Linked DNA regions of Oryzias latipes. The protein of the gene in region 3 interacts with the protein of the main gene of each other region in a pairwise test. Links are inferred from orthologs where the notes say so. Each region holds a gene or a part of one and is shown on either strand. Other genes may lie near its edges. The genes, in order: rhoq, rad23a and trip6.

What was found.
Region 1: the proteins of trip6 (region 3) and rhoq interact in a two-hybrid assay, tested with the Homo sapiens proteins (2 studies listed by BioGRID and IntAct). The two-hybrid records come from large-scale screens. The link is inferred for Oryzias latipes from reciprocal best matches to the Homo sapiens genes TRIP6 and RHOQ.
Region 2: the proteins of trip6 (region 3) and rad23a interact in binary tests that used the Homo sapiens proteins (3 or more experiments, as listed by UniProt). The two-hybrid records come from large-scale screens. The link is inferred for Oryzias latipes from reciprocal best matches to the Homo sapiens genes TRIP6 and RAD23A.

Annotation. Positions count from the first base shown.
Region 1 is NC_019873.2:6,511,381-6,515,033, reverse strand, and holds part of rhoq (rho-related GTP-binding protein RhoQ), read right to left. Parts: intron 1,366-3,653; coding exon 1,201-1,365; intron 1-1,200. UniProt on the Homo sapiens protein: Plasma membrane-associated small GTPase which cycles between an active GTP-bound and an inactive GDP-bound state. In active state binds to a variety of effector proteins to regulate cellular responses. Involved in epithelial cell polarization processes.
Region 2 is NC_019866.2:22,938,732-22,942,384, reverse strand, and holds part of rad23a (UV excision repair protein RAD23 homolog A), read left to right. Parts: intron 1-871; coding exon 872-915; intron 916-1,350; coding exon 1,351-1,478; intron 1,479-3,452; coding exon 3,453-3,540; intron 3,541-3,653. UniProt on the Homo sapiens protein: Multiubiquitin chain receptor involved in modulation of proteasomal degradation. Binds to 'Lys-48'-linked polyubiquitin chains in a length-dependent manner and with a lower affinity to 'Lys-63'-linked polyubiquitin chains.
Region 3 is NC_019876.2:14,756,026-14,759,678, forward strand, and holds part of trip6 (thyroid receptor-interacting protein 6), read right to left. Parts: intron 2,371-3,653; 5' UTR 2,355-2,370; coding exon 2,153-2,354; intron 1-2,152. UniProt on the Homo sapiens protein: Relays signals from the cell surface to the nucleus to weaken adherens junction and promote actin cytoskeleton reorganization and cell invasiveness. Involved in lysophosphatidic acid-induced cell adhesion and migration.

The DNA.
Region 1 (3,653 bases), on a different chromosome or scaffold from region 3:
TTACCGAGAGCTTCCTGTGTACTTGGTCTCCTGCTATTTTACAGCCTCTCACATACTCTAATCCAACACTATCGCTGCAACAAAATTGGCGAGCAATATTCGAGCTATCCAGCCGTACAAAAATAGTCAGAAATGTCATTTTAATCTTAATTGTTTTATACGTGTCCATTATCATCAGAAAAATGTCACACAAACACATTTAGAAACAAATTTGAGCAAAGCGAGTCTTTAAAATGGCCTATTCCATGCTATTCTTAAGCCTTTTATGGTAAACTACATCAAGATATATCTATCTATCTATCTATCTATATATATATATGTATATATATATATATATACATACATACATACATGTGATAATATATTACCTTTGGCACACAAAAGAATGAAGTTTTAATCAAATATCTGTTATTTTCCTGAGCTTTTTTCCAACCAGGAAGTAAAACGCCTCTTTCTCTGAGGCTCCGCCTTGCGCTCCTTGTGGGTCCGCCCATTTCACGACATCATCCTAGAGCCGGCCTCAGCAGCGTGTCAGCGTCCCACACAGCAAAACAAACAACATCCAAACTTAATTATCCGAAAGATGGATGAGCATACTGAACGTATAAAAGGAAAGAGTTTAGCCGATCATCGCTAGCTCTGTGCAGAATGGGGGCGTGTCTGTTAGCCTGGGGGGGGCGGTGCTGGCAGGACAGACTCTTCCTGGAAGGGGCGGTTCTTTATTTGTCTACATCAGCTCGTGTGAATCTGACTCGTATTCCTGGGTTGGGAGGGGCCGGTGCTCAGAGTGCAGGTTTTTAGAGAAATACTCAGAAATGCGTGTCCTGCAGTTATGCAAATGCAAAAAAACAAAACGGAGTGACAGCTTAGTTTGAGTCTAAACGTGAAGTCAGTCAGTGGGAAAACCCTTTTCTAATACAATACTTTAACACGCTTAACCAGGTTAGGGAAAAATAAGGTCCCTTTGTAGCAAAAAAATACATTTCTCAATGATAAGCATGGAAACCAAAAGAAAAAAAGGGAAAACTGTTTTTTACATTCATTTGGAAGCAAACTGCAAAAGTGCACTTAAGTAAAAAGTTCTCTCCCAAACTAGCAAAAGCTTCAATATTTATTTATCTTCCAAAAACTGATGAGGACAATTGAGAATTTACGGTAAAATGGATGTAAAATTTTTTTCCACGGGTGTTAAGAACTAACCTGAGTACCGATGAGCAGGTAAGGGACGCTGGGGGCATATTCCTGCAGCTCCGGCACCCACTCCTCACGCACGTTCTGGAAACTGGCCGGGTTGACCACGGAGAAGCAGATGAGGAAGACATCGGTCATCGGGTAAGACAGCGGCCTCAGCCGGTCGTAGTCCTCCTAAAAGAAACAAAGATGGTGAATCTCTGGAGTCAGAGGGCAGACCTGCTTCATTTCTGTTCCCTACCGACTAAAAGATGATTTCCTTTATCACAGCTCTGATATTGGGCAGAGACAACAAAAGATGATGGGTTTTGTCCCCCATTTTGGATTAATGGTTTCACCTTCTTAAAGGCTTAAAGGTGCAGCTGCAGAACATGACAACCACACACCGTTATGTCCGACTATTTTAGGGGTGAAAGCAAAAAAAACAAAACCACATTCACTAAAAAAACAGCAACCCTTTGCTTGTGATCCATCTCACATTTTCTTCCGGCTGGCATTCAGAAAGCAGCAGGGAGAAACGCAGAGTCGATGCCTCTCAGGTAATTAGAGATGACTCAGCCTCACACAAACATGAGACAAACTCAATCAGACAAGCAAACACTCGCACAGCAGCGGATTCATGTTAGGGAGTTTGTTTTTTCAAATATAACTTTTTTCTGTCTTCATCCTTCTCCATCCAGACGATTCCAAAGGTTTCACAGATCGTCTTCACAGCACAGCCTTGTGTACTGATGGAGAGTTTGGCATAGACACCATTTTCTAAACTTCCTGGTGTGATATAATTGGTCTGGATTCAGCCAATTAAAACGCTCTGGTTCAAAAACGAAGCATTCTGAAAAAAGAAATCTCTATATTAACCCTTTTGGAGCATTTTCTTTTAATTATTTTACAGTTTGCTCTAATACTTTACCATTAAAACTGTTTTTTTTGTGTGGCAATAATCCCAGCTTCTATATTTTACTAATAGTTTTCATTATATTACATAGGCCTGCACAATAAATCGCTAATATATCGTTATCTGGAGATCAAGCTGTGCAATATGCATATCATAAAACCGGTAACCTTAAATGAGCTAAAACAATCTTATGGCAGCTTGAAGTATTTAACGAATCAAATTAATCCATCTATGCATTTGACCACAAGGATGGAGCCCTTTGATGTTAGATGCTCGCCTCCTGTGTAGACGAGGGTCATTTGGAGGTAATTTAAGTTATGTTATCTTATTTAATTTAAACTGTTGTATGATATCGTCATCGCAATATAGATCACTCATATCAGGAAATGAGTCTTCCTGATGACGTGCAGCCCTAATAGTAAAAAATAATTCAAAAATCAACCAGAAACTCCCAAAAACTCAATTCGGGTTGTAGATTTCGTCTTTTTTTTTACTACAAAAGCCACAAAAAATGATATCAAACAGGTTTAATATTTTACAACAATGATCAAACATCCAGAGAGAAAATAAAAGTGAACGAATCCACAAAGTAAATACGAGGTAAAAAACAACAACACAGAAATGTCTAAATAAAAAGGGTTCCACTCAAAGGGTTTATTCCAAGCAGAATCACAAATGTGTCACAACTCTTGTTATGTTTGTATGAAACCAAAAAATTCAAAGCTAAAAAGTGTTGATGTTAGATTTTGAATGAAAACTATACTAAGGGCCGGTTCAGCTGATGTGATTGGCTAATGCACAGGTGAGTTCAGAGACTTCTGAGGGATAAGAAATGATCCGATATTTGGTTTCACATTTTCAGAATAGGACTAAATCTACAGAAACGCGTGAACCTCCTTGGATAGCCCAAACATTAACTACTGAGGAGGTTAAAGGTATTTTCCAAAAGAAGTTTTGTCTCCGCTTTCACTTCTTCAAGTCAGTGGTCTTTTTTGGGTTGTTTTTTTTTGCTGCCTCGACAAAACCTCCAACAAAGAGGCTGAACTGTAAGAAAGAAGGAGTGCGTCTGGTAAATCTGTTCCATCACACAATGTATGGAGGGGAGTCCAGCTGCTGCTTTAATTATGGTCTTCTTCAGGCTGTCAGCCTAAAAAATTAAAATAAAAAATACTCTACATCTAAGGTTAAAGAGGTAGTTTGGGGTAAAGAGAGATTTGAGGATAGACTTCTATTCAACCTTGTTAAAGTGGTTCATGTGTTCCTCAGGAGCCGGGTTTTGGTTTCACAGGTCTGGTTCAGTTTTAATTTTGTTTTTTTCCTTGCAGTTTAATCTGTTACTCACTCAGTACACTTCCTTCTGCTATCACATTTTTTTTTAGCTATGTTGGTAAATTTCGACATATTTTTGGTTTGCATCCAGTGTAAATTTGCTGAGAAATTTTTGCAGAATTTGTTGCATCACCATAGCAACAGATACTTTATGTGTGGAAGAGAAGCTCATTGCCATTAAAAAACAAAAAAACCCAAAAGCCTCACTCATCTGAAGAGAAGAGGGGGAGGTTTTGGT
Region 2 (3,653 bases), on a different chromosome or scaffold from region 3:
CAGATGGATGAGATGGCATAAACTTTAAAAACAAAGATTCCTTATTTATCTTGGGAATTACATTCTAAAAATAACCCTTGATAGGAAATCTGCAAAGTAATGAAGCTTTATATGTACAATAATTCTGGTATTTAAGGCTGTAAAGCTTCTCACTACACACCTGTCTACGTTTCTCAGACAAACATGAACATTTTCACACTTTTGTCTCTTGTTTAAAGTCTCAAAGTTCAAACCTTCACAGAATCTAAGGCCAGTATTGTAGAATGAAAATAGATCTGTTTATAGTAGAAAACACTGATGGTCATGTTTCTGAAATCAGGTGGTTGATTTTTTTCGGCTTTTCTGCTTTCTTCTTTTTTTAAAATTTATTTAAAATGTGTTTTTGTGGAGGGGTTGCACAGTGGTGTAGTGGCCAGCGCTCCTCCCTCGTAGCGAGAAGGTTCTGGTTCCAATCCCAGCCGGGTTTTGTCTGCGTGGAGTTTGCATGTTCTGTCTGCATGTGTGGAACTCCAAAAAACATTCCAAAAACACGCTTCATGGTTAATTGGTGAATCTCAATTGTCTCTAGGCGTGAATGTGAACTGGCGACCTGTTCAGGGTGTAGCCCACCTTCACCCAATAGTAGTTGGGATAGGCTCCAGCAACCATGTGACTCTAAAACTGATTCTGCCGGTTTAGGGGATGGATTGATGTTGTTTTTTGTCGATTTTGTTGAATAATTTAGGCGTTTGTGCTGTTTAAATGTTGGATTGATAAAGCTCTTCGAGGGTCTGAAGTCTTTCACATTAAGGCGGATTTGTTTTACTGTATATAAAGCTAAAATAACGTGATAGGATTTCAAATCAATCAGGATTTTCCTTGTCTTTTGTAGCTCCAGCGGCGGGAATCAGGGCCTGGACGCCTCTTCAGCGTTGGGTATGTGACGCTGAACCCTCACCTGATGACTCTATGCTCCGCCTGCAGTTGCTGCTCTCATCAACACAACACAAACCCTTCCTGTAATTAGAGGGCGACAAAAGCGAGCTGGCTCTTGTTGCGGGGTCACACAGAGGGATGGGGAGTCCCATGTGATGCAGTTATGAGCACATCTGCTGCACGCAGAGGCGACAGGAAGTCACGTCATTTGTCAGTCAAGTGCCAGAGAGCCTCTGTCTTCTGCGTTCAGCCTTTTGGTCTTGAAGTCAAGTTGAGACCGTTCCCATTTAAAACAGGGGAGCCTGACACAATAATCATGAAATGTTTGGACTATTCAAATCCCGAAACTCTTTATTTGACCCGTAAAACTTGACTGATTGTAGCTCAGGCTTGACCCCCTTTGCACAGAGGTTTGATTCCCGGTTTGTGTTTCAGTGACTGGAGCGGAGTACGAGGCCATGCTGACGGAGATCATGTCTATGGGATACGAGAGGGAGCGAGTGGTGGCGGCGCTGCGGGCCAGCTTCAACAACCCGCACAGAGCCGTGGAGTACCTCCTCACTGTACGTATGCTGAGGCCCCGCCCACCTGCCGGATGGGACGCTGCCTCTGAGCTCCCAGCCAGGGTGTGATGCTCTCACTACCGTAACCCTTCGACTGCGTACGCAATTCTTCTTTTCATTAACCTGTTTTTTAGTAGGGAATCAACACGAATCGGCTGATTCTGACACGGACAAAAGCGGCTTTTCATGTTGGCTTTGCACCGATAGACCACACATTTCTAACTTTAAAAGTGTTGCATGACGGCGCAAAGCTGTTTCCGCCACGGCAGAATCGGCTGTTGGTTGTGTAAACACTTGAGTCCTGTAAAGTGTTGCCCATCAGTGTGAAGCTCATTTTCTCCACTTCAGAATCCGTTGCGTGAACAGTCGTAGGGTTACGGTAGTGGAAAGAATGTAAACACTGGCGCTAAAGCTCTGGTGTCGCTGGACATTCACACAACAGACATCCGACCAACAGGAGGTGAGGTTGTGTGAGACGTTCACACCAAACGCGTATCTGACGCGTCAGATCTGCTGCTTAATGTTTATCCAAAGAACGCGTTCATAAATGGACGTCTGAGACGAGCTGCCGGTTCAGATTTTGGAAGCATTGACTCCATATCCCGTTTACAGTGCATGGAAGACACGGATGATGTTTAGAGATCAGGTTTACGTGTTTTAAAAGACTTCTACAGAAACATTGGTGATCCCGCCTCCACGTCTGGGTTCATGACATCATTCAGAGACTCTCCCGGTACGCTGAGCTTCACCGTCTGCTGCAGGAGCTGCGTCTGATTGACAGCTGCTCCCGACTCTCCCTGACCCAGTTTGACGACTCGCTGTCCCGCATGAGTCCTGGGAGGGAAAAAATACAAATGAGAATCAAATTAGAGGAACTTTCCATTATTGTATCGACGGAAAAAGCAAAACAAAATAATGGTCCTAATCTTTTCAGTGATTCCCGATTGCATCACTGAACCCGCCACGCCTGATTGGTTGACATGCGGTTGAAGTTTAATTCGACTCGCTGCGATGCCCAAAACATGCTGCTGCAGAACCAACGTTCAGACCCCAGATGGCGTCTGGACATTGATGCGTGAATCGCATTTGGTGTGAACGCGGCTTTAGCGACACGCACCCGTACAGGTGCTGCGGGGTTTTAGGTCGTCTGGGACGTGGAAAGTCGTAGCGAGGAGCCTACCGCCACTCTTGAACTGTTTATGCAGAAAAGCCAAAGCTTTGCAACGTTTTCTCTGTCAGAATTACTAAAAAGTAACGTAAACAATCCAAGAGCGTGTGTTTTTTGTTGTTTTTTGTCGCTAGTGACAACGTAGGTGTTAAAGGTTAAGGAAACGCAGGTGTCTTGGAAATGTCATGAAATGGAAGGTACCATTGGCGTGCGTGTGGTAAGTTTGTCGTTGGGATGATGTAAGTTGCACGTGATGCTGTTGTATGGCCCCCTAGTCATCAGTAAGGCGTCACTGACGACATGCTATGTTTGATACGCAGGTGCCTGTAGGATGTCCTCTGTCTAATTTCTAAGTCAGGCTGCATGTGAGGAGCGCGCACGTGTCACGTGAACAGCACCACCGGCTCCTTTCTGCTGGAATGAGGAGGGTTGAAGACATGAAAGTCCTGACGACACGCCTGTGTCTCACCTGCTTCATCCTCACGTGTTGTAGAAGCGTTCACTGCGACCTGTCGTCCGTAGAAAAAACTGCGCACGAGCATTTTCGCCTTACAGTCTACGGTGTTAAAATGGTCCCCCAGGTGTGCCCACGTTCCCCCCACAGACAGCCGTGTCCACCTGCGAGTGCGGTGGAGACCACAGCTAAAGCCTCTGGGTGTAAATCTGGAAATGAAGGCGTGTAACCGCATCCGCTGTGTGGCACCAGCCGTCTGATTAGGTCGAACTTGTGACTCTAGATGCCTCAGAATGAAACATCGCTGTCCAGCTCAGGAAGTGGTCGCTCACAGGCGCTCTTGTGTTTCCAGGGTATTCCCAGCAGCCCCGTGCAAGAAAGCAACCCCCCAGTGCAGCCCCCCACCTCTGGATCCACAGACGCCCCCTCTCTAGCAGAAGGTATGAGACCACAATGCATTGCCTTTGAATGATTTGTCATTTGAAAAAATGTACATAAATGAGTTTTTATGAATTATCCACCTTTTCTTTATCACAACACAGAACAAAGTTGT
Region 3 (3,653 bases):
ATATTACTTCAACCTTTAAAGCTTTGTAGTTTAAATGGAGGACTACAGCATGCTTTTATTTTGTTAAAATATTCTTTTAGTTTTTTGGGAAGTCAAGCAGTGAGACTATTGAATTCATCTGAAAGAAAAAGAAAATAAAAGACACTTGTTGGCTTTTGACGTTTGTTTAAATCCACAGAACAGTTTGAATAGACGAGTTTAAAAAACCAGGAATGTCCTCATCAGTTTTTTTTTTCCTCAATCCAATTCATTTAATTTTGACCATCTGCTGATACAGAGTACCAATCTGAACCATTCAAATAAAATGAATGTAGTAAACAGACCCAGGTTGGTCCCTGTTTTGACTCTATTAGCTTCTGTTATCATTTAGCCCCCTGAACAGAGCAGGAGCTTGAACAGTCAAGTAAAAATAGTAAACTATCAACTAGTACAAATGGATGATTGATAGTCATGTGAGATAGTTTGGTGACTTAACTTTAGCATTTTCACAACTATTGAACCTTTTTAAACAGATGTGATTCAGATCTCCATAAGGAATTTTTTTTTTGAAAACCAATGATGACTTTCTTCTAAAGTTGTTGTAAAATAAATATAATGATGCGTATTTACGACTCGCTCATATCAATAGAACAATTTATGATTTATGGTTGTTTTTCAGTGATTAATTATTATTATTTGCACTTTTTGTCTCTTAGCAGCCAGACCTTTTTTTCTACAAGTCTGATCAAAACTGCTCATTTACATGGTGTTGTCTAATTTAAGATGAGCTCTTTCAGAATAAAATTGAAATATTGATGTGCAGCTAAAACGTAAAAATAAAAAAAATAAAAAGCTAAGAAAAGGTTTTACACTAAATCAGCAAATGATAAACTTTTTTTTGTTTTTGTTTTGATGGATGTTTATAAGAAAAGAGTTTCAGGAATCTTGGAAGACTTCCCGTTCTGGGTAAACAGAACTACTTTATCATTTCCTCTTTCAAAATGTTTCAAAAACACAACTAAGCAAGTTTGAAGTTACAAACTAAAACACAAAAATGTTTCCAGTGGATCTAAGGCAACGTTTACACTGCAGGCTGAAACGACCCAATTCCGATTTTTTTGTCCCTATGCGACCTGTATCTGATCTTTCATGACAGTCTGAACGACACAGATCCGATCTTTTCAAATGCGACTTCCGTCTGAACGGCCAGGCCACATGAATCCGATCCGTACGTCATCGATATGCTACAAAAGTCATAATTCTGCGTTGAAGTAGGCGGGAACGAGAACATAAACATCAACCATGGCGTACGATGCTGCTGAGACCAGTCAGTGGAAGGGAAGCGAGGTCACCGGTTGGATTCATATTTGGGGTGACAGCTCTATTCAGGCCAAACTCAAGGGCTCTTATCGCAACCAGCCGGTTATTGAAAGATTTTCCAGCGAAATGGCGGAGCGTGGTGTTGAACCTTTCCCGCAAAGACTTTTTATCCTTTCCGTCCGTGGACAGAAGCGCGAGGGAGACCTTCTCCACGGCCGAAGGATCCTCCTTCGGGGTTCACTTCCCCGTTTGGACCCTCAGATTCTCCAGAGCGGGTTAATAAAGACTCATTAGCATTTATTCTGGGAAAACCTTCTTTTATTATCGTTCTCTTTCCTCCGTAAGACACAATACGAATACACGCCCCCACTGCACCCCCCCTCACCTACTCTTGCGCTGCACGCGCTCTCTTACTTCTCTTACACACGCCCTCGCGGCCCCAGCACATTCACATCTCCATTCCACAACAGTGGGTACAGACGATCCTAGCTCAAATGCCTTATTAAAATGAGAAGATTGTTATTGCGCTGGCTCCTTTGTGAAAATGAATTCAATAATGCAAAAGGAGCTTAGCTGTTGACAACACTGTTGTTGACATCCATTGTTAACGTTAGCTACTTCTGCAAACAACGAGTGACGTCGGTCACCGTTGAGTACTCTTCTGCGCATGCGGGTCACTTCTGGGTCATTTCACGGTCACATAGGACATCACAAAAGTTCGCATTTAATTGGAAATGTGAATGGCCTTGCAAAAAAAACAATTTTTTTCAAAAAATTGGAATTGAGCATGAAGCCCTGCAGTGTGAACGTAGCCTATACCCAGATTTGACTCCAGATGTTGAGGGTTTCCTACCTGTGGCTCCTGTCGCCATGTACCTGTTGGTGACCCCGCCCACTCCATTCTGGTCATACGGACCATATTTTGCTCTGAAGTCTGACATGGCCTTTTTGTTTGGGGCGCGGTAGATCGCTGCCCCGGAGGAGTGGGACATCTGGGGGATGGCACGTTCGGGGCTGTCCAGGTTCCTTGGGGGCAGCCAGGTGGGACCAGACATGGCAGACCTCAGTGCTCTGACAACACAGGAAGTGCGAAGTAATGAATGAGTCCCTTTGCTAAGAATTTTCAGCTTTAATCCACTATACTTAGATGCAGCTCTGGCTGAGATGTGTTTGTAAATATCAGGTAACCAATGGAAACCGCAGGAAGCTTCCGCCTTTGTTTCCTATGGCAACGGGAGACGGAGCAAACAATGCAGTTTATGTTGATGGGTAAATTTAACGCTCAGAGGTTTCCAGCAGGCCTTACTCAACGCAGAGACACAAACAATCTCCAGCTCACTCACACACACACACACACATACACACACAAGCACACCAGCAGGTGCAAATCTGTGTTATCCATCACAATAGTTATTGTGTTTGGCTATTTACACTCCACTATCATGAATTTCCATTCGAAACCGAGACAAAACCGGAGTCAGGAAATGTTGTGTAATAATATTCATTTGCGAACACCTGCATCACAACAATGTGTCATTTACCGGTACTTTTGGTGGGATAAAGGCGTCAGAGCCTCAAAGCTGGGCTGTCAAAAGCCCCGACTAACACCTGATGGTTTTCAGGACACCGACGGTACAAAGTCTTTAAAACGCGCTCCATTTCAGAGCATCGATTTAAAATGTTAGGAATATCGGAACAAAGAAAAAAGACGTTTTTCTTAAGCAGAGAATCGCACCACAACATAATCTATTTAGGATTACAAAATTGTTTTATCAAAGTTTAATTTAAATTATATTTTTTTAAAAGTTGTGTTTTGATCCAAAGAACTTGCTATAGTATTACTTTATACAACTATAAAGTAACCTTAATGTCTTGTGTTTATATTAAATGGATTTTAAAAGTTAAAATCTGACTTTGCCACATTCCTCACACCAGTTTTGTTGATTCCCTCCCTTTAAAAGACCTCGTTTCAAAGCTCGCACATCTCAAACTCTTACGGCAGGAAATCTTTGTGATAAGCAAAGAAGGCCACAGATTTCTCAGCAATCACACAATAAGAAAAATAAACCTGTTTCCATTTCACTGCTTTGCAAAAGTTACATCATGACTGAATTCATCAAGATGTTCCAAAGTTACAAAGGCTGACCGTTTTCTTCCTGGAGTGTTTCATATCAGGCAGCAGTGGATGCAGTTTATTTTATTATTTTTTTGTACAAACAGAAATATAGCAACAGAAGGATTGTTTAAACTACTGTGTTGGATGTCTTCTATATGAACTCTATAAAGCCAGATCCTTAAATCATGGACAGCTATAAAAACCTAGAAATTTTTTTTAATTAAATATAAAACTAAAA